Oryzias latipes: one gene and its partner. The protein of the gene in region 2 purifies or fractionates together with the protein of the main gene of each other region. This does not show direct contact. Links are inferred from orthologs where the notes say so. Each region holds a gene or a part of one and is shown on either strand. Other genes may lie near its edges.

Region 1 (14,886 bases), on a different chromosome or scaffold from region 2:
AGAGTATAAAAACAGGATGAAAATGTTTTGCGGCCAAATATCTTTGATTTTTTTTTGGTTAGTTTCCCGAGAACATTTGTCACTGTGGTGATGATTGTCAGCTTTGAAGAAGAACACAGCCATCGTTCTCCACTATACGCTACCAGGATCTTCATATTTACTGACACTAATTGGAGAAAGTTTTTAATGATCAGTGAACTAGACTGAGATGTAGACTTTAACAGAAGGACTCAACTTTCTTCAAAGGCCTGCAAGAGCATCACCACCTTCATGACCTTAAACAGAAATGCAGTACATGTATTACATCAGCACACAGCTGGTTTCAAATGCTCAGTGTTGCAATTTAAATTTGAAGCACAAAACTTGTCTTAAGATAATTAGGACAAGTGCAACAAATTACTGAAAAGTAACAAAAAAAGAGAACATTTTGCAACTTATTTTAAGTGTGCATTACAATTATCCATGACAGATTATGTCATGGCTAACATGTCATAGATGGCTCTCAGAAGTCTAAATGGGCAGAGGCTACTGAAACACTGTAATGCATAACAGCATCCAAAGATTCAGAGAAACTGAGGCAAGTTCTCTGACCTAATACACCCAACATTAGATTACCATTGCAACGTTCATCTAATCAAAGATTACCAGTAATCAATGGTAATCTTATGTTGAATGAAGATGGCGGCAGTCAGTCAGGATGACGTCAATATGAAACCAACCACAGGGTGGTGGCAGCCAGACCCCGACCGGCAGCAGCTCTGACTGGACGATGTTTAGATGTCTCTGGACAGCGGCCGTCCATATCAAGTGGCACCGGCCAACAGCCAACCAACAGAGGTGGTCAGTGGTGCCGAATAGCACCACTGATCTTTTGCAACTCAGATTTTGAGCGCGCATTATAATCTTGTCAATTTACACATTCTTAGATAACATGCCTCCCAAGAAAGCACAATGTTCTGTCTTCTTCGTGTTCTTCTCAGAATCAAACGCAATTCGTCAAGACGCAGACCTCTGAGTCACTGTGGTGCTATCAACGTCATGATGAGTTTTGTGCAGCATCAATGCTGTCTTACTATTTGAACCCCAGCCATTGTTGACTGCCCGTACTCCTACCATACGATTTCTGACGATTGGACAGTGGCAGTGAGGCGACAGCACGGGGGCAGGGGGTGGCTGCATGGTGGCAGTCTGAAATCGGCCAATCATCAGACGATTTTAGGGATCTTGGAGACCCTCCTATTAGTCAATTATCCCGCTGCTGCCTTCCTGCCACCCGCCTGCCAGGTCTTAAGACCTCGTCGGCCGCTGGGCAGCGTGTAAAAATTTAATTGCCGCCTCCCGATAACAAATGCCACCACACTGTGGCATTTTGGCACATGTGACAATAGTTTTACTGAAATTCGAAGCAGAATCATAAAAAAAAATGCAAATGAATCATGTCAGTCACCTAGTTATAAATTTTACACGACTAAATAAATCATTCTTTTGGTAGAGCAGGTTGGGTGAGGTTGCATGCCAGTTAACCAACTGTGAAGTGTGTCAAGTGTTGGAAAAACAAACAAGGATATCACAAAAATAAATGTTTTAACAGGTCACTGCGTTAATCTGATAAGTACATGTCAATCCAAGTTAATTTGCCTAGAGCAATTTTCCCTTGAGAATTAAAGATTCACTTGCATGTTTCTGAACATTGAATTAAACCGCACTTCTTAGCAGAAGTTAAAAAAAAGTGAATTTTAATTAGTCTACAGTATATCTTGGCAGAAATATTAAGTAGGGCTGTTTGCATTTTTATCAATGTTTTGCTTGACTAAATAACTCACGAAAACCTACATGCTCGTATAAACAAAACAGTGACAATTTTGACAGAGCTTCATAGAGCACTCAGGTCATCCTAGACGGCAGACGCCACACAGAAAATGTAGCCGGAAGTCTGACAGTGTTCAAGCATTGAGTTAGCAAACAACTAAATGGAGTTATTCAGTGGTTCCATCATCACAGCCTCCTCCCAGCCACCTTCAGCAACAAAGATTTTGTTCAGAAGCTGGTGCTGGATGACAGCCTACCACTGTCCCTCATGTGGGGGTGTCACTGACATGAAAAAGCTGCCAAAGCTCAGGGTCATTGTTGAGCAGATGAAACCCAGTCACCAGCTAATGTCAGTTAAACTGAATAAACTTAGCATTTTAAGTATGGATGTTTTTGTCATAGCTGGGACCTTACTTTGTAAATAAGCATTTTAGGGTTTTTCTCCAGGCACTCCAGCTTTCTCCCAAAGTCTAAAAACATGTTTCATAGTTAATTAATGACTCTATAATTGCCCCTAGGTGTGCATGTCAGTGTGTGTTTGTGGTCCTATGGCTCTGCAACGGACTGGCGACCTCTTCAGGGTAAAAGGTAAATGACGTAAACAAAATAGCACGTTACTACCTTCCTTGAAGGCCCAAAGTGCTTTATAGTCCCAGCCCTGTTTACCCATGCAGACACCCATTCACAATCTGATGGCAGCTCCGCTCCCAAACACTGGCACCACCAGGAGCAATGTGGGTTTCAGTTTCTTGCCAAAAAAACACTACGACACATGGTCGGGCATGGGAGGAACTAAACCAGTGATATTACAATCAGAGATCTACCACAGTCACAGAAGGTGCAGTGTGATGAAGAGTGTGCCCCCACCCCTTCCCACCCCCCGCCTTCTGCCCAAAAGCAGTTGGGTTGCCTCCAGGTGCAATATGTCCATGACCCCCTGCAGTTTGCAAACCAGGTGCGTATGTGTGGAGGATGCAACTCTCTACCAGATACACAGAGTCCACTCCCATCTGGCTGAGAGGCCTAGAACAGTGAAAATCCTCTTTCTGAACCATTCCAGACCCCTGCTAGGAGGACTGGGTGCCTCACTGACAGGCCACAGTGCATCAGAGGGAAGGACACTGGTATGCAGCACTGGAACCCCACGGGGTTCAGGGTTACTGCTCTTTTCACCCCGTACATCGTTAACTTCTACAGCTCAGAACTGTATACTGTCAACACAACAATTGTTGGGTGCATTAAGGGTGACAGTAAGGGTGACAGAGAGGAGTAGAAGACTTTGCTGCTTGTTACAACACCAACCACCTAGATTTTAACTCTTCCAAGATAAAAGAGATGGTCATTGATTTTGGGAGATCTAGACCAAGACCTTGTGCGCTCCTGCTAGAGAGAGCTGAGATGAAGGCTGCTGAAAAGTACAAATACCTCAGCTGGATAACAAACTGGACTGAATATTTAACACCAACCAGCTGTACAGGAAGACACAGAGCAGGATGTACTTCCTGTGAAGACTGCAGTATTTAACATTTGTAGCAAACTGCTGAGGATGTTTGACCATTCTGTAATGTTCTCTTTGTTGTGCTGAGGCGCCTGCACATTCAATGACACATCTAGGTTGGACAAGTTAATCAGTCAGGAAGGCTGGGTCTGGTGTTAGCATGAAACTGGACTCTCTGTTGACTATGGCAGAAAGGACATGATATAGGGCAAACTGCTGGACATTCTGGACGTGACAGTAACCCCGTGCTCACCATCATCACCAAACAGAGGATTCTGCTCAGTGAAACATTGCTCCTCCCGAGGTGTAGGACAGACAAAAGAACATTTTTTGTTCCCCATGCCATCAAACTTTACAACTTCCCAATAACAAAGAGAAAGAAAATAATGTATGAAGTACTTTTTGCATATATGTGCAATTTCTGCTTTCTGTATTTAGGCTTCTGGAAATCCAATTTCCCTGAAGGGGTCGCTCAAAGGGGATCAGAGGGAAGTCTAATGCTGTGTCCGATTTCCCTCAATACTCTGTATCTCCTAAAAGACTATATAGTGCTGGACTATCCAGTGCCCTGGATTTTAATGAAATTTAGACACACACTCACAACTTTTTGGTTATAAACGCCACCCATTTGCTAAAGTTAGAACCTAATAAATGTGAACATTTTACAGAGACTATTTGTGAATCCGGTGTGTGGTGATAAAAAACTTGGATGATATAAAAACAAAAATTAGAAAATTCAATGCACTGTGGTCTGTATTCACTATTGTGAGCAACTAGTGAGCATCAATGCACACTAGTTTTTGCATTGGCTTCTGGGAAAATTCTGTCACTGGTTTTTAGAATTGTATGATGTGCCTGAATTCCTACCCTAATCCTTAACTACCAAAAACCATGCTCACTACTTTTTTTTTGTTTTTTTTAATGGCGAATATGACATCACTGATTTTACGAAATGAAAATCTAATTGAAATGAGCGTTTTATGACAACTACTTATGAAAACGGTTTGTTAAAAAATAATTTAAAAAATGTCCTTCGCAAAAATTGTTCAGTGAATTGTGGTATATATTCCCCAATCTAGTGAGAAAATGGCAAACACACTATAGGGAGTAGTAAAGGAACTTGGATAAAGCCATAGATGTAGACTTAAGTAGTGCTCAAAGTAATAGTGTGGGACTCTGGACAGAACCAGTTTCAACATTTATGCAGATAGTATTCTGTGCCTCACTGTTTCTCATGGACGTTTACTGAAATTCTTTATTTTCTTCATATTGAGTGATTTTAGACAAATGTCCTAGATTTGTCATCATTTATTTAGGATTTAAGTGAAAGATTTCCCATAAGGATATTGTCGTTTCCCAGCACAAAGTCCCTGAAGGTAATATTTGACAGGTGATTACTCCCACTCCCTATCAAGTAATCAAACTATTTGACGACTTAATATTTGATGGATTCCGTGTCTGTATATTTTCAAATGCAGATAAGCCTTTGGCTTTAAATTTTAATGGCATTTACGATACATAAAAGTATTGTTATATATACATGTTTTCATTTTCCTATCAGTTCATATCTTCAGCTTGACATATCCATGTTCATATATTTCTTGATTTAGCATTGATTGGTTAAAATAGACCAATTTATTACCAGTATATTATCGTAAAACAAATTTGAATTTGTGTGGATTGAGAAGCTAGCTGTATGTGCCCTATAAAAGCAATAATTCTATCAGAGTTCAATTTAAATTTGCACAAGATTTAATCTTACTTTTAAATCTGTAACATTCCATTACCTTATTCCACACTAAATTTGTGGGCTGAATCTTACACAAAAGCACAAATCCTAAAACATGACAAGTATGCCCCCTAGTGAGACGTTTGAAAACAGGACATGTTTGGTTTTGTTAACATTTTAAGCTTTTTTCAAACCAGGCAACTTAAGTTCAAATGAACAAAACTGCAAGTTTTACTTAGATTTAATGAAATGTAAAATAAAAATAAACCTTTAAAAATCACAACTTATGAGGTTTATTTTTATCGTGAAAATCTTGAGGAAAAAAATACTCAATGTTCTACAAACATTTGTTACATAGATTAGATTTTATCCATGACTCAGTCACAGCCTCGTTTAACAACCATAACAAACATCCAATAACTTCTGAGCATGGACTATGAAAACAACAGTAAAACTTAACATCTAAAGAAAGCATGACAAAAATAAAAACAAAAATGTATGGATAAATGAGTTAATTTGTTTTTTGTACAAAAAAAGGTAAAATTAAATCATACAAACTGCTTAAATTTACACCATATATCTGACTGGACAAGCATCTTTCCTTTTTTTTTCTCTCACAACCCTTCCTGCCAGACTCCATCCACTTCAATCCTTCAGCAAAAGACTGTTTGGGTAGGAAACGAGTGCAGGCTTTCTTCTGGGACATTCAGTCCTCACACTTTACACTGAAAAGCTCAAAAAGGTCCAAAGTATGCTTCTGGCACAGGGTACAGTAGGTGTGAGGGGTCTATGCAAACGGGCAAAAAACAAAAAAGCCCATTTACCGTTAAATAATCAATGACACTTCCTGGAATGTCCAAAAGTTCAGAAGATGGTGAAACAGAGTCCATTCAAATGTAAAACACAGATTTTAATCATCAAACTTGATTTTCTTCCCCTGAGGTTTTGCTCCAAATCCACCACCTCTTCCACCTAAATAGAAGGAACAAAAACGGTTAATGAACTGATAGCAAAACATTTTGGGTGATCCAGATGTCTTTTTCTCTCTCCGTACCTCCAAAACCACCACGTCCACCACCACGGCTGAAACCCCTTCCTCCTCCTCCTCTGCCTCCTCCACGGCCTCCCCTGAAGCCACCGCGGCCCCCAAAGCCGCCACCGCGGCCCCCAAAGCCGCCACCGCCGCCTCTTCCTCCGCGGAAGCCGCCTTCACCCTTGGGCTTGGCGTAGTCCAACGTCACCTTGCTGCCATCGATCTCTCCATCCTCCATGGCCTCCTTGGCTGCTTTGCAGTCATTTTCATTGTCAAAATCCACAAAGCCGAAGCTGGAGAAGAAACACACACCTTAGAGCTTACAGTTTTATTCAGATCCAACAGATAAAGATGATCCAACTGAACTTCACATGAGCCAAACAGCTCCTTCTTAGGTTTTTATTGGAAATCAAGGCCCATCATTGCATCTACCCAACTTACCCTTTGGAGGACCCCGTCTCTCTGTCTGTAACTATCCTGGCTCCAACAGCTCCCTCAAAGGAATCCCTAAGCGTCTGATCTGAGGTGTCCTCTGAGAGCCCCTTGACAAAGAGGGTTTTTGTTGGACCTGATGGAGAGGATAAAATCAAAATCTGTTAAAATAATCAACAAAACAAATGGACCCACTTTAAAGATCTAACATTGACCAGATCAGGACTTGACTATCTTTTGATTCTTCACAGAGTTTCAAGAGATCAAGATTGTCATCATATCAGGTAAAATCTTTCCGGATTACATCCAAAGACTAAGCTCTTACCCGAGTTTCCTCTGCCTCCATCTCTCCCTCCGCCACTCTGGCTGTACTCCAGACGGATTGATCGGCCTTCGATCTCTGTGTTGTTAAAGTTTTCCAATGCTTCTTTGGCATCCTCTGCGTTCTCAAACTCTATAAAAGCAAAACTAGAGCAAAAAAAAAAAACTAACATTATTACCAGGCAACACAGAATGCTGCTTCTGATTGATGAAGTATTGACATTCAAATTTATTACAATTGGTATTTAGCTACTGAAAATACTGAGAACACTAGAAAGATTTTTTATTGAAAACAATAATTTATACAGGTACAATTTTATTACAACTGTTTAAACAGCTTTCTTAAATTATCATTTTATCAAATATTCATCAAATCAAAATATTTGTTGCACAGCAGACATGGGCAACACCCATAAGCATGTAGGGCGAGCCTGTTTTGATCTGTGCACTGGCTCTGCTTCTCGTGCGAATCCGTACAGAATCATGGATGCGATTGAGAGGAGCTCATGAGAAGGTGCTCTAGAATTGTAAACAATAACCGTCTTCTCCAGCACTTACCCTTTAGGTCTGCCGTCCCTTTGAGGAATCCTTATGGAAGCTGCTTTTTCAAACGTAGACTGTAGAACATCTTCTGTGGCACTGAAGGCCAGATTATTTACAACCAACGTTTTGTTGACTCCTCCTGATGCTAAACGGCAACAAAAAGGGTAGAAATTGTTCAATTCCCAATTAACTTTCATCACACCTAAGCAGGTTTTAAGGTTTGAGCATTTGAACCAGTTACTGAGTACATATATTTAAAGGATTTTACTAACAGTTCTGGGTAGTTACATATCATCAATACAGGACTCAGTACCTGACATTCTGCCACCTTTTTGGCTCTTATCTCCAACAAAGTCTAAAATGATGGACCTCCCTTGCACATCGGCTCCCTGGGCCTCCTCCATCATCTTCTCTGCGACAGCTTCAGATTTGAATTCAATGTAGGCAATGCTGCATTAAAGAAACAGAAAAGCTGATATGAGGACAAGGTAAGATATAACTAGAAACAATTGGGCATAAGGCTGGTAAGTTATTTTAAAGATTTCAAACTATAAAAGTGACTTCTGTAATTGAGTTTTTTCTTACCCTCTATTTGAACCGTTTTGTCCCTGAGGTAACCGGACATCAACCGCATCTTCAAACAATTCCTTCAGGTCATCAACCGTGGCAGAAAACGGAAGATTTTTAACAAAAAGGGTCCGCGCATCTCTCTCTGTAGAACCAATATCAATTTTAGAAAAACACTGATAATACAGACTTCAAACATTTAGCAGACAAACTTTGCAAAGGTGCATGTTTACCTTTCTTTCCTTCCTGTGAGTTATCTTTCTGACGGGCCTTGTCCAGCTTTAGTTCTTGACCCATGAATTTCTTGCCATTAAGCTCCATTGCCTTGTTCATGTCTTCCTCTGAGGCAAAGTCAACGTAGCCAAATTTCCTATTGAAGCAAGATGCAAAATTAGAAAATTAGACCTCAAATTAAATCTACCTTAAATGAACATCAAAGGTTTTTGGCTGAACTCGTGAATTTCTTTATTTAAGATCACAAAAACATTTGAGTTGTCTTGAATTCAGTCGCTCTTCTCCAACCCCTAAAAATGAATCATTGCAGGATCGCTATATCACACATTGTGAAGCAAGCAACAAACATTTTGAACAACACTCTTAAAAAGCTTAAACTTGTGGTGCAATGCAATTGAAACCGGGGTAACCATATATTTATTTGAGTTAAAACAAGTGAGCCATGAAAGGAAGCAATGACCAGGAAGACCTTTAAAAGGACAAAGGTTCCCAAATGACTGTGGGGAAAACACCCCTACATCTCAGGTTTTAACACACATTCTTGTCCGGGCAAGACGTGTGTGTTTTTTTTTTAAACTTACTTGGAACCTCCTAACCGGACATCAACAATCTCTAGACTGTTTTTGGAGAAGAATTTTCTGAGCGAGGCTTTGATTTCGTCAAAGTCTTTGTTGGAGTTGAGGTTTCCAACAAACAAGCAGAAGCCTGGAAAAACACAAAACAACAGTTTTTACAATCCAAATGTGGGTGAAAGCAATAAATGCAGAATAAGGCCAAGCATATTCAGAATAATTCAAGGTGACATCACACATCAGTATTAAGTCCCTTGTTGATCATCATGAGAAATAAACTTCAGAATGATAAACCAACATGTCTGTACTTGCCTTCTCCATCAGACTTTGCTTTCTTAGCAGGAACTGGTTCTTTCTTTCCATCTGCCTTTCTCTTTGCAGCTTTAGCTGGGGCTTCTGTTCAGACAGAAAAAAGACTTTGTACAAAGTTGTATGCAGGAAATGTTTAATTTTTTTTCAATGCAAAATCGAGACCAAAAATATTTGTTACTTATATTCATGATGTGCTGTCTTAGCATTAGTTTAACCGTGAGTTTATGCTTTAAAACTATGCAACATTTATCAACACTCACCTTCCCCCTCTTCCTCTTCATCATCCTCTTCAGACTCATCCTCATCATCTTCCTCCTCTGATTCTTCTTTGGCCTTCACCATTCCAGCTTTCTTTCCCTTTGTAGCAGCTGCTGCGGGAGTGGTGTCCATCTCTTCTTCAGAGTCTGAAAAGTAAAAGAAGGCAGATGCGTTTTCCATCCTGAACAAACCCCTGAGAGCTCCACAGCTCATGTCTGTCAGATGTTTTAAGTGGTGACATCATACATGATCAGTATTAAGTCCCTGTTTGATCATATTTGTTAAAGAAGTTAATTGACACTTGTTTTGCCGACTTACCATCATCATCTTCATCATCATCATCAGATTCCTCTTTAGCTGGGGCTGCTTTAGCTGCTGCCTTTGCTTTGGGGGCTGGTTTTGCAGGAGTAGCCTTTTTGGGGGGAGGAGCTTCTTCTTCTGAATCGTCCTCCTCGTCATCATCATCATCAGATTCCTCTTTAGCTGGGGCTGCTTTAGCTGCTGCCTTGGCTTTGGGGGCTGGTTTTGCAGGAGTAGCCTTCTTTGGAGGTGGAGCTTCTTCTTCTGAGTCGTCGTCCTCATCGTCATCTTCTTCCTCTGAGGACTCCTTTGCAGGCTTAGCCTTTACTGGGGGCTTGGCAGCAGGCTTTGCAACAGCCTTGCTGGCTTTTTTGGGGGGTGGGGCCTCCTCTTCAGACTCATCTTGGAATTTAAAAAAAGAAATCAAAACTATTGAGCGAAAATGGAAAACGTCTCCAGCATAAACACGAAAATTCCCCTCCAACCAAACCAATGTGACAGCGTTTGAGGATAGAACCGGATGATTCAAATACACACCGGCACCGAAGACATAGCGCTGCCTTTGATTTTCCTCCGTACATAACACACATGAGTACTAAACAACCACATGTATGCCAAGAAATGGAGGAGATGCAACAACTTTTCTAAAACATTCCTCAAAAACAGCCTACCAGTAACGTAAAGTGGTGTGGTCATACATAGTTAAAAAACAGTAGCTTCTACATACCATCCTCCTCAGACTCTTGTGCTTTAACAGGGGCAGCCTTGGCGGGGGCTTTTGCCTTTGCAGGTGCCTTCTTTGGGGGTGGAGCCTCTTCTTCAGAAGACTCTTCCTCTGTAAATGATTTTGAGTCATTATGAAAAACTTTTTCACAAATTGAACACCTACAAACTACATGTGTGCATGATGCCGCATAACGACACAGGGCAAATTCTAAAGTTTTTAACCCACAATCTTGATAGAATGTTAAACTACCTTACTGATTTATACATATAAAAGATATGCTATTTCAAATAATCAACCCAATGAATCACTTTGAATAAAAGAAAAACACTAAAAGATGAAGTTGTAAAATAATCTTAACCTAAATTAACCCATATGTCTAAAATAGAATATACAGAACTTGTTTACCTGAATCCTCGTCACTTTCTGCTTTTTTAGCCTGGCTTCCATTTTTTACAGCTGGTGTGGCTTTAGCTGGGGTGGCTTTCTTTGTGACTTTAGGTGGTGGACTCTTAAAAAAAGTGAGAAAAAGGTAAGTGGGTGTTGGTAAAATTATTCCAAAATTTGTAATAAAGGAGGAAAATGGTTTACCTCTTCTTCCTCCTCACTGCCGTCTTCATCACTCGATTCTTCTTCTACCTGTTTAGGGGGTGGAGGGGCCTTTTTCTTCTGAATTTGCTGCTTTGCAGGCTGGAAGATATAGTTAAAAATGGGTTTAATAATAAAAAATTGCCACGACACACATTTTTAAAGTAAAGGCTGTAAGGAACACGTGACAATGATGGCATCCCGGATACCACGCTCGCACGATGGTCCACATGCTAACTAACACGAGGTGGAAAAATAGTTTGACAGTCCTTATCGTAGCATTCAAAAACGCCAAAAAAATTAAAGTCCTTTTCGGCTGATTCACACATACCAAGACTAAATGTTTACACTGCACATCGAAAATACTTCTGGGTTTTCGTTGTTGGCCTCATGCATCAGTCAGAAGAGCTCGTGCGACCCACGTGGGCCACGGGAGGGGAGGCCGGCAGAGTAGCAGCACGCTAGCTTTTTTTTTTTTAAACACCTTTAGTGCTAACTAACGCGAATTTAAAACATTTTTGCTCAACTACCATATCATAAAATAGAAAATTATGTTGTAAAATTTGGAGCCATCAACCAAGACTAAACATATGCATTTACGCTAAGTTGGGAATGGCGTCACAAAATATACACTAATATTTTAATACGATATTAAGTTTACTTAATCTCATCGTTGACTGTATTGACTTAACACAAACGATCTTCAAATACAATTTTCATCGAAAATCGATAGACGGGGAAGTATTTTCTTCAAGTTGAAATCGAGGGCGAGCGTGAAAGCCATCTTGAGTAGAGGGCTAGCGTTAGCAGGCCCAGCTCGGCCTGCGATCCACAGCAAGGCACCAACATGGCTGCTGTGCTGTCGACAGAAAAGCGACGTCTAAAAACGAGGGAACCCACGTTTCTCCCCAAATAGCTAATTTATTTACAAAAATAACAATTCGAACCTAGTTTTGAAATCACGATTAGACATTTGGCACGTATAGCAGTTTTATTATTAGCAAACGCATCAACTTTTAGAATTTAGGCCTCGTGCGTAAACACAGCTTAATATCTAATACTTGCGTCAACACAGAACAACAGCACAATTTGCAATTTAGAATCTTACCTTAGCTAACTTCACCATGGTTGCTTCTGAAGAGTGTTTCAAAGAAACACTAGAATCTGGATCTCTGAATGCAACTTGTAAAACTGCTTGTATGCACGTGGCCCTGTCTACTCAGTGGGACATTAAACGAGAAAGACAGAGGATCCGCAACAGCGTTTGGTCAGGTCTGCCCTCCAACGAGGCTCCGCCCACATGACGGCGCTTAACCAATCAAAGGTTGGTAATTTTGCATCGTGCCCGCGCGCTGACAAAAAAATAATAAACGTCACGGATTGCTGTACAAGTGCAAATTTCAGTTGTAAAAGAATAAACATTCTCTCTTTAATTATTGTTAATATTATAATTCATTTTAGATGTCTGGTAACTATATCCAATTAAATCAAACTTATTTACATAGCACTTTTACAACTCAGGTCACTCAAAGTGCTATGCATAAAATTATAATCAAATTAAAAAAAGGGACAAGACAAAAAATTGTTTGGTTTAAAATCCGCACAATGCCGACCCCTCCACACACACACACACATACACACACCATGATAAAAAGAGTGATAAAATGATGCAATGTAGAAACCTGGCTTTGTTTTTAAGTGGGGAAACGATATTTTGCAAAATAAATTGCAGTTGCAAAGTGCTGTTATTGTGTGTTGAGGCAAGTATTAGATATTAAGCTGTGTTTACGCACGAAGCTAAATTCTAAGCCGACATAAAAGGTCTTTTGTATCCCATGTGCGCAGATGGATTGTACCAGATGGTTTATGCCACCTGTCTTCTCTCAACACTTGACTGCTATGGGAACCTTCTGTTTTAGTTCTTCGTTTGCTTTTCTCTTTTTCCTAAAGTTTTGTTTGTTTGTTTCAAAATAGTTCTTGCAATCATAAATATACATTTTTTTTTAAAAGTTTAACCTTCACTTAACTTAATCATTTCAGCGCTAACGCACATGTACAAGTGCTAGTCACCACATTGAAAATCCTGTAATGATTACTTATATTGGCTGTTATCTAAAGCACTATCGCTGGGTACATTTTCACCCGAGTAAAACTGTTTACATGAATTTCAATATTTCGTGTGGTCAAGGAGTCTCTGCCTTCACCAAAGAAATTTCACATGTCCCAGGAATGGGTGGTACAGAGACCAAGTTTCTAATATAATTTGATCATTTTTTAGGAATTTTTGGTTCTCAAGTTCCTAATTTTTCAGTAATTTTTGATCATGTTTTTAGGAGCTTCTTAAGTTTTTGTTTTTCATTTTGTTATTCATACTATAGTTGAAAATAAAAGAAAACCACTCTAATTTATCATGTGTTTTCATGTTTTGATCTATTTTTTATGACAAGTACTTTTTGTTGGATGTATCATATCGGGTAAAAATGACACAGCAGAAGTGATGGTGGAACCTTTTATAGTGAAAGTGTTCTAGGGCAATCTGACCCTAAACGGAATGATATCTTGACTAAACTGGAATAATTGTCATGTTTAAGAAATTTCAATGTTGATGGGGTTTTTTGTTTGTTTTTGTCCGGGGGGACAACTATGGTATCGGACTGCCACTTATAAACAAGTATACATGTTTATTTTACTTCCTTTAAATTATATTCTCATTTGCCTGTTAAAAATGGCTGCAATGACTGTATATATTACTTTTTTTTAACTCTACTTTTTTTTCAATTCAAGTCATCACTTTCACCCTCTGATTCTTACTCCTGAGGACATTTTTCCTCTTAGTCTTTGCAAAGTGCATTCACTATTGGAAAATGCTGAAATCACAAACATGTCTGTCAAATGTTACAGTCCTGGTGGTGTCAAGCTCTCATCCAGTTGTTGTTTGCATTTAACATAACCCACTTGTGTTTCTCTTGCACATGCGTAATCACAAACAGTGTCTCATGCGCTGGGCTCAACCTTGTTTTTTAACATAGTAAAGGCTCAGGAAACTTGGTAGATGATGCCCTGTCCAGATTCCCGTAACTCTACCTGAGCTTATGCTCTATTGGCTATCATGAGTACCCACACATTTGTTTGGTTTATTGGCTTGCAAAAATCAAAACCAGGAAATAAAAATGGTTTTTGATTTGCATCTTCAAGAGGGGGATTTTGGGGGATTTTTGCATCATCAAAGGGTGTGTTTGTCACTCTTTCTGTGTGTCTATGAAAGTTTGGATTGCTGGGGTAAAAGAGTCATGGACTTGCCTCCTACACCTAATGCTCACGATGGCATCCAATCACACCAACGGCAACGGATCAACAGCCACATAAAAGAACTGTCATTGCCCTGCAAAGGCAGTGGCTCTTGTTTCAACCATGTTGGTTATTAGCCAGTCGACTGTGTGTGAACCCCAAGCCTCTTTATGTAACGCCTTCTTCTTTTCAAATCTCCTAAGTCAGGAACGTAACAAGCATGTACGGGAAATGGAAGTATAAATATTAGGGAAGGGGAGGTGACAAACAACAGTCATAATAGCTCATAAATAAAACAAAATACTTTCACTCTCAGCATAACACAGCACAGAAACCTAAGAAAGAGAAGGCAAAAATGGCTCTAGAATAAAAGAAAAGCTTCTCTGTGTTTTTTTTTTCCCTGTGAGTTACAAAAACCTTTCTTTGCGACAGATGAAAGCGTTTTTAAGTCACCAAAAAATATTCAAATTATGTACTTATGATTTTTTTGATGAGTAATTTATTTACAGCCAGGGGGACTTACGCAGCACTTCTGAGTAATTAACCTTCAACACCACAAAGAGGCAGCATTGCGTTTTACATCTGCATCTCACCACAGAGCTTCAGTGTTAACACTGTGTCTAGTTTTGTAGAAAGAGAATCTTTTTCCTAATGTGTTCAAAGTACTGAGATGTCATA
Region 2 (15,948 bases):
TCATTTCATTGTTTAAATGTATCGCACTCCTGATGCTAAAGGTTTGATCAGAATAATTTCCAAGTAGAAATACATTCCCAAGGATATTTGTAGGAGTTATGCACAAGGATGTTTGAATCATGCATTTGCTGAAGACCAAGTGTTCGGAATACAAAATCCTGCCCACTGCATGAAGAGCAGAGTCACTCATGCAGGCCCCACCGGTTCTTATGATTCACCGACATGAAGGTTAGACTCCTAAATTCAACATCCAGCTGTAATGAAGCCACGTCGTGTCCCATTGAGGGGTCAGAGGAAACGACTCTGCATCTGTCAGGGTATTGGACGAGTGCCAGAACACCTTGTTCCTAATTGTCCCCAGCGCTGAAAAAAGAGAAAGAAAGAAAACAAGCCTGAGAATATGAAGCAATTGCTGGCGAAACTCCAGCCCTGGAAGAAGCTCTGACATGCTGCCCATCTATTTTATCTCGTTGGCATAAGTGCAACAGAATGGAGCCATATTTCCTTGCAGGGAAACTGGAGGAAAGTCAATGAAAGATGACTAACACATTCTACATTTAAACGTATTTTCCTCCGAAGTGGTTTAAAGATTAGTCCAACGGAAAAGAAACGAATAAATTATACATAACAAAGAAACGTGAGTGATTAAATTCTTCAAGTAATTTCAGATCAAGCCCTCTACACAGTAAATCACACAAGGATCAGTAGGTTTTGTTTCATTTCTGGTTTTTTATGGTGAAAACCATGTTTCTCTGCAGCAGATTTGATGAAAAATTGAAAAGCAATTAGCCCTGAGAGGCAAAGAAAGAACCTGCAGGGGGATTTTACAGCTCTGGTTGAGAGGTGAGTGACTAGAACAGATGTTCAGCTTCTCCCAGTTGCCAGAGATGGACAGATGTGGCACACCATCAACCAATAGAGAAATAGTTGAGAGATTAGAAACAGCTGAGCGTCAGCTTGCAGAAAATGATGAGGGTCAAATGTCAGTAGCTTGGAATAGATGAACGTTAGAGGCTGCAGGGATGAAGGTCGGCTTCAAGGAATCTGCGGTTGTCATGAATCAGTTGCTGTAAGTCAATACAGGTAAGTGGCTACCAATAGATAGAGGTCAATGTTTGAGAATAGATGGAGGCCAAACTCTAAGGTTGAAGGGAGTTCATTGGTTAGTTATTAACAGCATCAATAGTTGAGAGTAAACAGGAACTTGGGGTGTGGCTATATGTGCCAAGGTTCAGGTGTTGTTGGTTGGAAACTAAACTAGTGGTTAAAGAAGGACGCCAAAATAAAAACCCCATTTAGGAGAGACGTGAAAAAAGACCTGACTTTAGAACTAGGAAGATGTAAAGTTAGGGGTAGTTGGTCAGAAATAGAAGCCACAAAGAAGAAAGGAAGTTTCTGAGGATGTTCTGGGAATAGCCTAGTTACTGTCTTTAGCCTCGTTTAGAATTAATGAGGCCGTTTTGCAGGGTGTAAATGCCCTGGGGGTCTGCTAAAGAGCACTGCAGATATATGAGCTTCATCACAGGCACTGGTTAACCTCTGTGGCTGTTTACAGTAGTTCAATATATTGTATTTAACTTGGTTTCATGTCTACATTTAGAGCTGTGTTTGCACTTTTAAAATGAACCGGACCAGGGATACGAACTGGTTTAAAAATCTGAATGGGAGTTTTAAAAAAAAAAGACTCCAAAAATCCCCTTACGTCAGGTTCCCGTCACAGTTCTTTGTTTGAAAAGCTTTGTTATTAGAGAACTTTGACATTTCTACTCCCACATATAAATGCTCAAGCAAAGGGGCTGAGATAGACTGATCTTCACTCTTATTTTCATTCCATTCCTTTTCATTTGAAGGCCAGCAGTTTTGATCTTATCAAGATACCACAAAATAGTGTAACCTGCTCAAATATGATATTCACTTCCTATACAGCAGTTCTACAAGCAAAGTAACCTTATGAAGCCGGCTTTCTGCACCTGTATAGTAATTAGAGTGATCTATTGTGAATAGATAAACTTATTCCCATTATGGAATCTTATCAGCTTAGGTTGACAGAGGAAAACCATGTTCTGCATGCAGATTTGGGTCTTCTGCAAGCTGCTACTGAACTCCTGTAAGGCCTGCTGGGTAAACCACAGAGTGCGATGTTTAATCTCCATTCATCATTAAGCTAACACTCTGCCGGAATTTTTACCAAACGGCTTGCTGAGGAGGATACAAATCTCAAGGGGGAAACATTAACAGGAGCTAGTGGGAAAAAAATCTGTGATGATAAACACCTCACCGCATCTGAGATTGGAAAAATTCCCCATATGTGCAGGACAGTATGAGTCCAGGAAGATAAAAACCTTTCTCAAGGTGAAGGCATGAATCATTCCAGCATTCATTGCATCTTTTCATATTGATAAGGCTTTGGCCCCCGGCTCGCAGTGATTATTCCTCTGAGCTGCATTAGCTGATTGGTTCTGCGCTCCGCATCTCGACTCAAAGCAATGAATACTGTCAGTTCACTGTCAGGAAGAAAGGACACGGCTGCTCCCATTCTCACCCCTGCTGTCGGGGTTCAAGAAGAAGGATTTGTCACCAAGAGAGTCACTTCATACGCTTCATTACTGCAGGTTCACACTGCAAAAGCAAACGGTACAGTATAACTCAGGACGTAACCACCTCCAGTATGGAGGCCAAGGAGGAAAAACGAATAAGTGTCAAAGCTTGGGGGTTGCTTTAACCCTTGTGCTATCTTAGATGACCCCACCCTTTCATTGACATGTTCTCCCTACCATGACAAAGGTAGATAAAGGTGAAAAGATTTCATGTAATCCATGGACACCAGTGAAAATCACAAATAATTGAAGAAAAAAGATTCAGCGCACTGCCTAGTGGGTCTAGATGACCCAGCTCACAACGGTAAAGTGCCTAGGATAGCACAAGGGTCACGGATAACAGTCAGGTCTGAGCCAAAACATTTTCAGATCAAAGTTGGTTTAGAAAGTGACTCTTTCACTTCACCGGTGGAAAGGCACAGAAGGAATGTTTTACATAGAAGCAGTAAAAAAGTGTCAAAGTAAAATCAAGTGTACTACAGTCAGAAAAGAGATTAGAAATGCAAATGAACGTGCTTGGGATGAACTTGGAGCACTGTCTTTAGACTAGACACCAGTGGCGATTTCTTTAAGACTGCAAGGGAAGCTCGGCTTCCCTTATAATGTCACAAAATTAATGGTAAAATATGTACTATTGTATTAACATTTTATTGACTAAAATTTTGTTAGAAAACGTTCATCTCAAAGACGAGTTCGTTCAGAATCAGTTACATATAGCAGGTCGGCTGACTCGATTTCCTTCTCGTACATTCCCGCAGCGTCACAGTGCATTTCCCTATTGAAGCCCAGCGTCCATTGACTTCAATGGGGCTGCTTTGAACCTTTTTTTTCAGCGCTTCAAAACTAGAATGTCATTGGATAAATTATGCGATTATGTCCCGCCCACGGACGCTCATCGTCTCTGGGGGTGAATGGGGAGTGGGATGGCCCGGACTTCGAGCTTCTGTGTGATGATTGGAGGGTCTGTCGAAAGACTGCATCTCCTTTTGACTGACAGCAATTCTGTACTATAAGGAATCACTGAAGCTATTCGCGCTCAGTCCCATCGCGCATTTCTCAAGTTCAGTCGAAATAAAAACTGCTGCAACCTATTTTTTTGACATTTGCTTGGGTAAATTGCTTGATTTTCATCATACATTTCACACAATTATACACCACATTCCTTGTTTCAGTTTTACAAAGTTTAATTATTTTTTTTTAGATCGTTCATTCATTCATTCCTTCTTTCATTCATGAGCTTCCCCTCTCTGACAGACCAGTAGCCGCCACTGGTAGACACTGACGGTGATTGGAAACCATTACAAAGCATTGCTCCGGGTGGAGAACCGTCCAGAATGCGCCAGAGCTTCACTTAAAGACCCACTTCGATCTATTTGATCTATTTTCAAAGTGTTCCCAGTTTAAATACGATTATGCCATTTTTAGCCAAACTCTAAGAACCAGTGTGATTTTGTAGGACATAGTTTCTGCAGAGTGGCACTAGTTTGCCACCGTTTTCCCTCCCTGTTGTTGAGAGCTGTCTGTTTACATGCTCAGCCGCTAGATTACAGCCCCTCACAACCCCAACCTAACATTACACATAGCAGCGTTGAAACTATCCAGCCATACAGGTTTGAGCCATGGCAGAAAAAGCAAAGATGTACAGGATCTAGTCGTCTACAAGTGGATGGATCAGAATGGAGCAGAGCAGGGAGACTTTGACCTGTCGATATCACAGCCACAAGCTTTTTCAAACTGCATTTTTTTCATCTGCTCCTGATTCACAACAATTTAAATAAAGAAATACGCCGAAATGCAATTTTAAGCTTCATTTTCCTACTATATAACCTCCGTCCTCAGAAATAATACCACAAGGTTATGTTAAAAACACCATTTTCATCTGAGTGGGTTTCAAAATAAATTCTTTTAAAATGGTGAGACATCATAATTATTGGGCCAGATTTGTTCTCCTGTCTTGTCATAAATTGACTGCTTTTCTTGTAAAGCGATGTGTTGTCTGGTGCTGAAGAAGCAGTGATTTATTTTCAACGCTTTTACCGTCAAGCCAAATGCTGGAGACAGGAGATAAACAAAGGTTTAATAACCCCCACCCCCAAGATGGGCCGAAAAACTCAAATCACAGTCCCTCTGTCTATGTGGTAAAGTCATGATTGATTCAGAGGTTTTCCTGTATAGTTCAGCTCCTGAGAGCTTGAGACACACAGCTCTGGGATTATGGAAACAAACAACAAAACACAAGGTTTATTCAACATAGTCAGACTTGAGCCGATTCCCTCCACTGACAGTTACTGCGGTTCAGAGGGAGTTGAAGATGAGATCACTGATGGATGGGGCGGCTGCCTGCTAACACTCCTGTAGATTTATGGCTGCAAGGCTTCATGTCCCGTACAGTAATCCATTTAGGGGACTCTGGATCATTTTTCTGACAGTGGAATTAAGGTTCTGTGCGATTGCTTACCTTTGTTTATGACACAAAGGTTTGCAACTTCCACTCCCGTGCAAAGAGCAGTGACATTATTTCTAATAAAAATAAAAGCCTTTGTGGAACAAAGAGGTGACTTTCCATTCTGGACCAATGATTTCCATTTTATTTAAAGAAGCCCATAGATTATTGTTTGTAAAACATAAAAATACAACATAATTTCAGGAATTTTTTAAAATTTCTTTCGCATTTATGATACTATTGCACATTTCACTTTATTCAAAGTCAATTTAAGATCTGCTTTGTAATCTGAAGCAAACAGGAAATTGTGATTAAGGATTAGGAGGTTCGGCAATTAGAGCAATTATTGCTAATTAGATGACAAAGACGAGAGGCCATATTTTATTGTGCAGCATGCAGAACTTATGGCAGGTGCACACTGTTCCTCCTCAGACAGGCCTTTTAACCTGGCTCTGCTGTGCACACTTTAAAAAGGCATAAACATGTTTCAGGAGTCTCACATTTTTATTTTCAGTATTTTGCATTCAAATCTGTCCTAAATTTGTGCCATGCAGTAAACAAAAAATTTACAGAAATGCAATTTTTATGTAAACTATGAATAAAATGAAACAGGAAGGAGTCACAATACAAACAAACAAACTTGAGGATAGAAGAAGAGGCTTTGTATTGGCTTCCTTCCCTCATGAGCTATAAAATGAAGCATCTAAAAGCAGTTGTTCACTGCCAGGATTTTAAATACCTCACAAAAATCAATTAACACAAAGGGAAGCTCATATTTTTTAGGGGACAGCTTTCTCTTTCTTAAGGTGTGGAGTTCTGGCTCTGCAGTACAAATTTGTTAATGTATTTTGCTTAAAAATTAGTTTTAAACAAGCTAACCCATCATTTTTCTTTAAAAATGTTGCTAGTTCTGCTTCAAATAACCTCTATAATTAACTTTAGAACCAAACTGAACTGTTGGCAAAACGTAACTACTAGTTTTAGAGCTGGATTTGCCAGCCAAATAGTTTAAAAAACGTAAATATAGGTCTAAAACTACATCTCTAAATGTAAACGCCTTTAAAATAAGCATCAGTGTTGCTCTGGGCCATGTGTAAATGGCCAAACGCTTACTTAATTTGTTTTTTTTGTGTCAACGTATAGCTGTGTTCACAGCATCGCTTTTGTGCTCCCGAGAGGAAAGAAGAAAAAGAGGTGAAAAGTTCTGGTTACAGTCTAGATGAATAACTTTGCATAAATTTGCAATTTTCTTCCATTTCACAACAAGATAATGTAAGCTAAGATAGTGTTTTTTTCCTCAGAATTTATAGCATGCAAGATGATTTTTTAGATTTCACAGCTGTGGATTTTGCTAAATAAAATCTTTTTTTTTTTGTGTGTCAGTGATGTCATATGAAATGTAACTAATTAGAAGACAAACAGGTTTGGATGCACTGGAATGCTCTCACTAGATAAAACAACAAGAAATATGATTTTTTTTCCTGAAAAATATTGACTTTGAAAAAATATTTAATGTCAAATTAAAGCTGGGAAGATTTTTTTTATTTCAGAGGTTTGAGCAAATATTTAGGCTTATTCGTTTACAATTAATTTCACAATTTTTTTTTATAATAAAATAGAATATTTGAAAAGACAAAGAAGTTCAAATCAACTGGGATGCATGCCATTTTCCAGACAGATTGTGTTCCAACACCTAAATCTCCTTCAATGACTGAACTCATTTGTGGAGTAGAAAGGTTTTTGTGTGTCTGTGTGTGGGATGAAAATATGGAATGATCTTGGAAACAAACACAAGGACAGTCCAAACGTTGCCATATTAAAAAAGAAAACAGTTTGGTCACTATACAGTGGGGATGGATGAGTCTGGCTGGTACATAGGAGTTTAGGGAATGGTGATTATGTGAACACAGTAGTGGGGATAAGCATAAAAAACTGTTATTTTAGTGTTCCTTTGTTCATGGAGAGTGTGTTGTGGTGATATTTTTGAAGAGTTTAAGTGTATGAAAAGCATAGGGGATGGATGGTTTTGTGCCTACTCCTTTTTCAAATGCCTAAACTACTTTGTTAAAAAAAGATTTTTAAAATTCTTTTTTGCCATTGTTGTTTGAGTTCTGTTATTAAAGACCCACTCCAATCCTTTTTTGATTTATTTTCAAAGTGTTCCCACTGGTTTTTTAATTATGATTATACTGTTTTTTTTTAGCAAAAAATCAACAAAATTGTGTCATTTTCTAGGCCATAGTTTCTGTAGAGCAGCAGCAATTCATTAGAAACGAAGACGTAAATGGATCTATTTGTCTGCAAGTGGATGCATCATAATAGAGCGGAGCAGAGAACTTGTGGGTCTTTTTCAAACTGAGTTTTTCATCTGCTCCTGAGTCACAACGATTTGGATAAAGAAATACTTAAAAATGCAGTTTTTATGTCCTATATTTTCAGAAAAATGCCATAAAAACATGTTAAAAAAATATTTTGTACCTGAGTGAGTGTTTAGGAAAATTTCTTTTGCTTTCACTTTGTCATTTGCAAGTTGGACAAAAAAAATAAAACAACGTTCAGATTTTTGCGACCTATTTTGCTTTATCAAGTTAGGTTTAGTTTCCAAACTTGATTAACTGTAGTTTCAAATAATTTAAACGTTTCCTATTGCAGCATTTTTCTTTGTCTTATTAGTAAAAAATTTATTTAAACACACCTGTACTAGAATCCTGGACTTTTATGTGGTTAATGTCAAATTTGTATTCAGAAATCTTGTTAAAATTGACTTCCTTTGTGGGTTGCATTGAAACACCAACAGTAACCCACTGTTATTTGCCAATTTAATCTTTAGAGGCCCCTTCTGATAAAAATTGTGTTTTCTACATGTTCTTGTGGCATTTCTCTTATGATGAAGAGCATATATTAAGGATATTTGGCTTAAAACTGCATTTCTGAGTATTTATTTGTTCAAATCACTGTGAATCAGGAGCAGATGAAAAAAATGCAGTTGGAAAACGAGCTAATTTGTGATGTAGAAAATGCAATAGGCTGAAACTCACAAGTGAATTTCTAATGAACTCTTGCCGCTCTACAGAAACTATGTTCTAGAAAGGGACAGTTTTTATTTAAATTTTGGCTAAATCCGACGTAATCGTAATTAAAACATTATTAGGAACACTTAAGTAGATTTAAAAGATGATTGGAGTGGATTTTTAAATTTTCAGTCATTCATTTTAACATTTGGATCTTTCTTCTTTGTAGTTTTTTGGATGCTGCTTGCATCAAAAACAAAAACGTTCACATTTTCTCCCTTTCTAGAAATTATCAGCTCACAACTTAAACCAATTAATTCCTAAAATAATTCTTTGCTATGTTTATTTGCTGAAATGCACATAATCAAATGTTTTTCCACCATCAGCTTCATTATCCTTATATGTCTGTATAAGAGTAGAAAACACTACTTTACAGTCTGAGGTTGTCTTTCTTTAGACGTAACAGCTGTTCAGGATGAAGAGCTTTGAATCAATTTCCAGGAAGAAATACATTTATTATTGTAGACATTTTCTAATGAACAACAGTCACTCATTGGAAAAATATCCTCTCATTTCACACCTCGCAGAGCAAAAGTTCCACTAAAGATGTCAAAATGTTTTTCAGAATTGAAAAACAAAGAAAGTCTTTTTAAAAAGACGTTTCAGAACTTTGTGTCCTCTCAAACAGCATCACACTTGTCCTCCCTCTTTCATCTGCTTGGGCTTCTTCTTCCTCTTCTTCTTCTTGGCTGGGTTGCTGTCAGACTGTGTTTTGCTCTTCTTGGCAGGGCTGGACTCTGAAGCCCCAGCACCTTTGGCAGGTCGTTTTTGTTTGCTTTTCTTGTCATGCTTCTTTTTGGCTTGTCCTTTCTCTGCTCCTGGTTTGTTAGCGGGGGCTGCTGTGTCTGAGGCTGGTTCCAAAGCAGGTTTATTGCGGTTTATGCGTTTTTTTGTTTCTGGCAGAAAACCTTTTTTCTTTTTGAGAGCTTGCTTCTGCTCCGGCTCCTTGTCAGGCTTCGTTTTCTCAACTTTGGGCTTCCTGGAAAGGTTGGAAAAGAGTAAAGGTGATCATGAAGGATTTGAAAAACAGGGGAAAACACTGCGAGTGTGAGTAGAAATGCTGTCAGGAGGGCAAATATACTGCTCATTTGGCTTGTGAATGAGGATCGCATTTGTAGAGAGGTTTAAAAGGACACTGGCGGAACGTACATCACTCCAAAGAGCTTCATCACAGCCCAGTACGTGTCCTCCAGCTTTCCGGTGCTCTTCAAAGAGGCGGTGCTGGTCAGGGACTGCAGGGTCGTCTGGAGGGAGTCCAGGTCCACAGACAGCTTCTACAGACGGCGGAGGCAGACAGTGAGTCTGGACAGTGACCGTAATAACTCTTATCCCCTCATGATCTCATCCCACCTACCTGCAGATGAACAGTTTTGATCAGGAACTGGCAGAGCTCCAGGACTTTGACCATCTTCTCTTTTACCAACTTGTTCTCAATTTGGTCAGCCTGTGCAAGAATCTGAAAGACAATTAAACAAATTCAACCATTTTTGTCATACAATTCTGTTTAAAAAGCCTAATGCTACAATCACGCTGAGGATGTGACACACATTCAAGAACACGCATGGTGTTCACACTTGACAAGCAGAGAGGGGATTCTTCTTCTTCTTCTTCTACTGTTTATTACAGCTTGTTTGCCACCTACAGCTGGAAGAGTCTTGGTGCAAAATGTCAAAGCAGTGCAAGTCTGGCTCCAGGCTTTTTCATTCACAACTCTGTTCCGATGTATGAAGGATTTTGCTGTCACATACTTAGAGGCCAAAAATGGTCTCACAAATTGTGCGTAGCTACGCGTGAACGCAAGAGGTTTGAACGCAGAACGTGTATTTATGTTCGTATTTATGTGTGCAAACATAGACTTTTCATTGAAAATAACCGCTTGAATGTGCATTGCCAAAAACGTGGTGAACGCAGCTCAACTGCTCACAGATATTTAATCTCGACAGAACCATCAACATATTTTTTGATTAACTTATTAGGAATATTATTACTATAACAACAAATATAGCATGGTGTGTTTAGAGCAGGGGTTCTCAAGAAGCGGCCCGGGGGCCAATGGCGGCCCGCGGGAAGATTTTTTGTGGCCCTTAATTAATCCTAATTGATTTGTTATTGAACCAGCTGAACATTGCTTGGAAAAATATTGTTTTGTGGTTTCTGGCGACATCTGCAGGTAATTACACTCTGTGTTAACGGTACAGTGTATTAATTTCACCACAAGAGGGCAGACAACATTTTCTATGTCACCGCCTCTGCGAAAGGAAGAATTGGAATCGATGCTCTCATAAATCAATATAAATAAATTACAAATCATAAAAACTAGGACAAATTTACCGTCGAGGAGCGCAACAATAAGCTCCAACAACTACGAGGCTTTGCTGCACACCAGAGGTTTACAAAAATGGCTAAATCCAGTGACGCTGTGACAGAAGCTAGCTGTAGCAAGCTCTTAAGTGATGGGGAGTTTGTAAAAAGAATGTATGCTGAAAGAAAAGGTTTGAAGAAAAAAGTCTGTCAAATGACATAATTACTAAACGAGTGGAAGATCTGCGGGCAGCAACCTCCGACCGCAACGGGGAAAACATCTGGAGGGCCTGGTTAATTGTACAAATGACACTTGGCCATTAAAGTTATTAAAAACGACTTTTTTCTGTTTTCACCAAAATTGGCCCCCGGTCTAACGTCAAGTTCCTAATTTGGCCCTCCGCTACAAAAACTTTGAGAACCCCTGGTTTAGAGGTATTATCCCCTTTATTGATGCTCAGTCTCCCTCACAGCATCAATCTTTTGGGGGTTTCTAATGACTCACAACACCTAATAACCTAATATTCTCAGACTGCAGTTAGGGGTTATGGAGCAACAGGGAGCCAATTAAAAGACAGGCGACACATAAGGGGAAGTGTGGTCATGCTAGCCAATCAGAAGAGGCCCTGGATCAACAAAGACGAAGAAACACCCCAGATGCTTTGTTAGGGCGAAAAAAAAATTGGTTTACATTGTGAATAAAGTTTTTAGAGTGTGTGCTAAACTTCAAGCTGATGTAAAATAACATCAGCTTGATGCCTTGAAATCATTAAAAATGGCCTTTCTCAGAAAACAAGAGTCTGATGAAGATCTGATTTTATGGATGTTTGTTAAAGAATGACAAGAACATCCAGTCTATGCTCATAATGACACATCAATAAAAGCAGCTTGACGCTCAAATGAAGCACTTTGTTTTTCATCATTAAAAGCATTCAGACGTCGCTGGAGTGGCTGTTTATTGGAAAACACAAAAAATAAGCATTTGATCTGTTTAGACACAAATGAACAAGAACTCAGAGAAAAGTGGACTGAGAGATTGAGAAAAACGTGCAGAGGTGAAGAGGTTTAGGAAGGATTTACAGAGGCGCGTAATTAGATGTGTGTTCACCCTGGAATGTGGAAAGGTAGAGGACACACGGAGGGCAGAGAGTGGATCGCTGCCTCCTATCATTAATCACAGCAGCTAGAGGTCTCATAAACTTTCTTTACTAATATAATTGAAATTTTCAACAGCCAAAGGCATGATGGTGTTTCAACGATTGAGAACGTTTAGTTTCAGAAAATGTGAATTTAATCAGATTCAGAGGATTAGAGAACAAATCTCAAATTCGTCTACATTTTAAAATGACAAACTCTAGATTTTTTTTATTTTTTTATTTCTTAAGCTGACAGAGGGAGGCTCATTCTTGCTCATTCTTGGGTACATTTCCGACGATGCCGATGCTCTTCAGCGGTGGATAACTGAGGAAACTTACCCCTAACAACTGCTCGGACACTTTCTGACAGAGCGCCGTCCATTTGGCGCCGCTCAGAAGCTGCCGGACCTCGCTGGCCTGCATCCCTCGCAGCACCAACACACACGCCTGACCCTAAACACACAAAGCAAGACGCACACAGAGGGCACAGAAACAAACCAACGTGAGTCACTCTGCTGAGGTTTGCATAAAGGATGGGATCCGTTCATCAGTGAATCATTACTGTTGTGGTATTTTCTGAGTCTCAACGTATTTATCAGAATCTTTTGGAGAAAGATGTGATGGTTATGAGCCCAGTCCAATCCCATACACAGCTCATGTCTGCCTTTTTGAGTATTCAAGTCTCTTTTCTCGGTTTTCCAGAGGTCATAATAAAGAATTGGAATAAAATTTAACATTTAAAATCACAGAAAAGTAGTTGTTGGGTACATTAATACATTTGGATCTTTTTAGTGTGGGCGTAAAAAATAGACAACTAAAGTGCTTGAGAGGGAAAAACCTCAAATCCTAAGCAGTAAAGCGATATTTAGCCCCTAGAAAAGAGCGGTTCAGTGCACTCGCTTAACAGATTCACTATATATGTTGCTGAAGGGGAAAGACTCATTTACATAAAAGACTTTAAAAAAATGAATTTACATTTATTGTGTTACTTTGCTTTAAGCTATAAACTTTCTAAACCCTGAAAAAAAGTGTTGAGATCATGTTTTTGCACCAAAAAATGGGAATTAAAAGCAAATGATTAATGCTGATTATTGCTGCTATCATTAAATCAGTACTTAATATCAATAAGTCTGGGAAATGTAAAGGCTGAAAATGAATGAAAGGGAAGTACGGGGGGGCCTTGTGACTGCATAATGGGGCCTCTGGGTCTTATTTTAAGAGCTGGAATTACTGATTAGATCCTACAAAACACATCTGAAAGGCCGATTTTAGTAAAAAACTGGAAAATTTGGACCAAACTGACCTTAAAACCACAAAGCTTCTAAAGTAAAGTGAGGACTCGCTGGTATAAATTTAAGACTGATTTTAAGGACACAAAGATGTTCTAGGGTTTTTGGTTCTTTTTTTGAAGAAGATTATTTAGATATTGATGAATCCTAATAAATCAAAACTAAAGGATATGCTTCAAAACACAAGTGACCTGCGCATAATCCTCCTCCTTTCAGTCAAAATAATGTTTTCAAACCAGACCATTCCTCAAAGCAAAGGACAAATGTAAAGACTAAAATCTTAAGAATAAATGTTTGTTGATGTTCAATAGAGGGAAATTAAAAAAAAACAGTTTTTCCTGCTGCAGCCTCACTAACGACTATTCATTAAACTCAGAAGCATCTTGTGTTTTGTTCTGTTTTATCAAAAAAGTAATCCATTAGTGAAACTATGAAATGCACCTTAGCTGTAACCTTAAACCCTAAAACCAACACAGAGCTAAAAAATAATAATAATTCCTGAATGGATACAATTCTACAGAAAAACGCCTAAAAACAATTACATTTTTTAAATCTAAAACCTTTACCCTGTCATTTTATAAGCCTGTCTCAATCAGGGTAAGAAACCCACAATAATTACATAAAAGGTTGAACATTTCATAGTAATAGCTTACAGCAAATAGATAAAAACACACACAGTGTGTCAATTTATCGCGTTAATCGTGATTAATTATTCAATCTCATTTTTGTGTTCTCAAATATAAAAAACAACCGTTTACTTGCATGAACATTTTATTTGAACTGGGCTAAAAATGTGTGAGTGCACGTGTTGGTATGTGTGCCGCGTCGCTGTGGTGACGTCGTCAATGTGCGACTTTGTAGTTCTTAACAGAACTAACGCTAAACACAGCCACACCGCCTAATGCTGTTATCCATTATGTAAGGGATACAGCCAGTTCCTTATCATAAATGAATGGGGTATGTGGAGGCCTCATCGCATTGAACGGTAAAAACTGTTTAATATTGTATGTCAACATGGATGTTATGGATTTCATTTTGTAGTTTGGGGTCAATATTTTAAGGTTCATTCAGAAAAGCGTTCATTGATGTGTTTAATTTCCTAAAAACAAAAACCAAAAAAACACCTTGGTGATGCTTAAAAGTAAAGGTTGGAAGTTTATGATAATAAAATTTCATAAAGCTACTTTTTGTTCTTTTTTCATCTTTTACTGCATCACAATATCATACATTTAAATGAAAGTACCTCAAAATTTGTCTTTTTGCAGCAATTATTATGTTTCATTAAGAACAGATTAATTCAATGAATTGATTACAGATTAGGATTAATTGCAGCAAAAAATGAAAGGCATGACAGCACTAAAAGCCATGCGGTTTCCTCTAACACTCGCCTCCCTATAGGATGTAGGTGCTGACTTCATCAGGAGATTCTGGAACAGGGTTATCCAGCCCTGTTCCTCTGGGAACCCTGTCCTGCATTGGTTTCAATCCCACCCTGCTCAAACACACCTGCCTCTAATGGCCGCCATTATCAGGCTTCTGCAGAGCCTGACGCTGAGCTGAATCAGGTGTGTTTAAGCAGAGCAACATGGAAAACATGCAGGAGAGTGTTCCCCAAAGACCAGGGCTGGGGAACACTGATCCAGGGTCCAAAGCAAATATGATCTATGGAATCCAACAATGTCCGCCTGATTTTCTCCTCATTTCTTTGGTTAGAATGATGGGTTTTTACCTGCTGATGGTCCCTGATGCCAGATGTGATGTGCTGCACGGCTGTATCCAACAGGTTCACACACAAAACCTGCACGAAAACCCACGGCCATCAGTTACCGCAGCAGCCTGACCCACATTTAGGTTTGCTTTGATGAATGCACGCTTGGACTCACAGGAAATCTGTTGAACAGGTCTGTAAACATCTGAGAGGTCAGAGGGCTCTTCCTCCTGCTCAGGAAAGAGACCAGAGCTTCTCTGAAGACACCGGTGACCCGCTCCACGTCCACTTGGCCCATGAACGGCAGCTAAACAGAGAGGGACACATGTCAGGGTTTCTTCACACCTAGCAGGGCTGCAAAATTTCCTTTAGGTTTAACATTTATTTCTTTATAGTCTACAATCTATACTTTCTGGTTAAAAAGGTTTTTTACATTTTCATAAAATAATTCTTCTCAAATTTACAGTCTGGGTTTTTCATTCTCTTTAATACAATCCTGATCTGACCCCATAACAACCAAGCTACTATTTTTGTCAAATGGATCTAGTTTTATCCAAAAGAAATTCTGTTTGACTGTTGAGTCATAAACTCTGATAATAGGATTGATTATATTATTGTTCTTTCAAGACTTTCAGAAGGTTTCATTTTGTTCTCTTTTCTTCATTTGTGAATAAAAGCTTTTCCGTTGAAAATGTCTTTTCTTCACCCATTTTCCAAAAGCGTATGTCAGACAGCTTTTGTTAAACAGATTCTTTTTGCAAAAAGTTGTTCAGAAAAACTACGCTTATTGTTTTTGCAGATTATTAGCATTGGTTTCATGATGTAACAAGTAAATAAATAAAAAAATAATCGAACATCAATTTTGGGATTTTCTCTTTAATGCAAAGATGTCCAATCTTTTTGCAAAGAGGGCCGATTTGGAGAGGTGAAAATAATTAAATCATCTGTATAATATAGTATAATATAGATATATAATATAGAATTTAGTCAATCACAATCAAGAAACTGTACAACCAGATTTTCCAAAGCGCTGTGGGCCGCATAGTATTCATTTGGTGAAGGGAGTCAGTGGGTTGGTGAAAATTTGAATGCGGGTCGCATTTGGCTCATGGGCCGGACTTTGGACATGCCTGCTTTAATGCATTTTACCTCTTGTCGTAGTTTTGACCTGCAATGCCATCCTTTCTGGGAAAAGTGCTAAAGAAATAAGCTTTACTTACTTACTAAATGTTTTTGAACTAAAGGCTTTCCACCTCAACAAATGAACATTTAAAATATACTAAATGGATTTGTTTTAAAGCAACAACAAATACTAAAGTAAAGGAGAAGATTCCTGTGAAGATGACAGGTGAACCAAAAGGAGGCCAAGTAATCCAGGACACTTCATGACCCAATAAAAATCC

The links.
Region 1: the proteins of mybbp1a (region 2) and ncl purify together in Homo sapiens (affinity purification with mass spectrometry; 3 studies listed by BioGRID and IntAct, with this or other methods). This does not show direct contact. The link is inferred for Oryzias latipes from reciprocal best matches to the Homo sapiens genes MYBBP1A and NCL.

Annotation. Positions count from the first base shown.
Region 1 is NC_019862.2:11,717,017-11,731,902, reverse strand, and holds ncl (nucleolin), read right to left. Parts: upstream 12,210-14,886; 5' UTR 12,047-12,209; coding exon 12,029-12,046; intron 11,023-12,028; coding exon 10,924-11,022; intron 10,844-10,923; coding exon 10,741-10,843; intron 10,444-10,740; coding exon 10,336-10,443; intron 10,237-10,335; exon of another isoform or gene 10,099-10,236; intron 10,011-10,098; coding exon 9,627-10,010; intron 9,455-9,626; coding exon 9,311-9,454; intron 9,135-9,310; coding exon 9,051-9,134; intron 9,007-9,050; exon of another isoform or gene 8,950-9,006; intron 8,872-8,949; coding exon 8,748-8,871; intron 8,303-8,747; coding exon 8,166-8,302; intron 8,078-8,165; coding exon 7,951-8,077; intron 7,816-7,950; coding exon 7,679-7,815; intron 7,511-7,678; coding exon 7,381-7,510; intron 7,339-7,380; exon of another isoform or gene 7,204-7,338; intron 6,970-7,203; coding exon 6,827-6,969; intron 6,638-6,826; coding exon 6,511-6,637; intron 6,363-6,510; coding exon 6,091-6,362; intron 6,009-6,090; coding exon 5,947-6,008; 3' UTR 5,260-5,946; and 1 more. UniProt on the Homo sapiens protein: Nucleolin is the major nucleolar protein of growing eukaryotic cells. It is found associated with intranucleolar chromatin and pre-ribosomal particles. It induces chromatin decondensation by binding to histone H1.
Region 2 is NC_019872.2:24,949,589-24,965,536, forward strand, and holds the end of mybbp1a (myb-binding protein 1A), read right to left. Parts: intron 14,853-15,948; coding exon 14,721-14,852; intron 14,636-14,720; coding exon 14,567-14,635; intron 12,002-14,566; coding exon 11,888-12,001; intron 9,568-11,887; coding exon 9,466-9,567; intron 9,386-9,465; coding exon 9,261-9,385; intron 9,091-9,260; coding exon 8,742-9,090; 3' UTR 8,542-8,741; downstream 1-8,541. UniProt on the Homo sapiens protein: May activate or repress transcription via interactions with sequence specific DNA-binding proteins. Repression may be mediated at least in part by histone deacetylase activity (HDAC activity).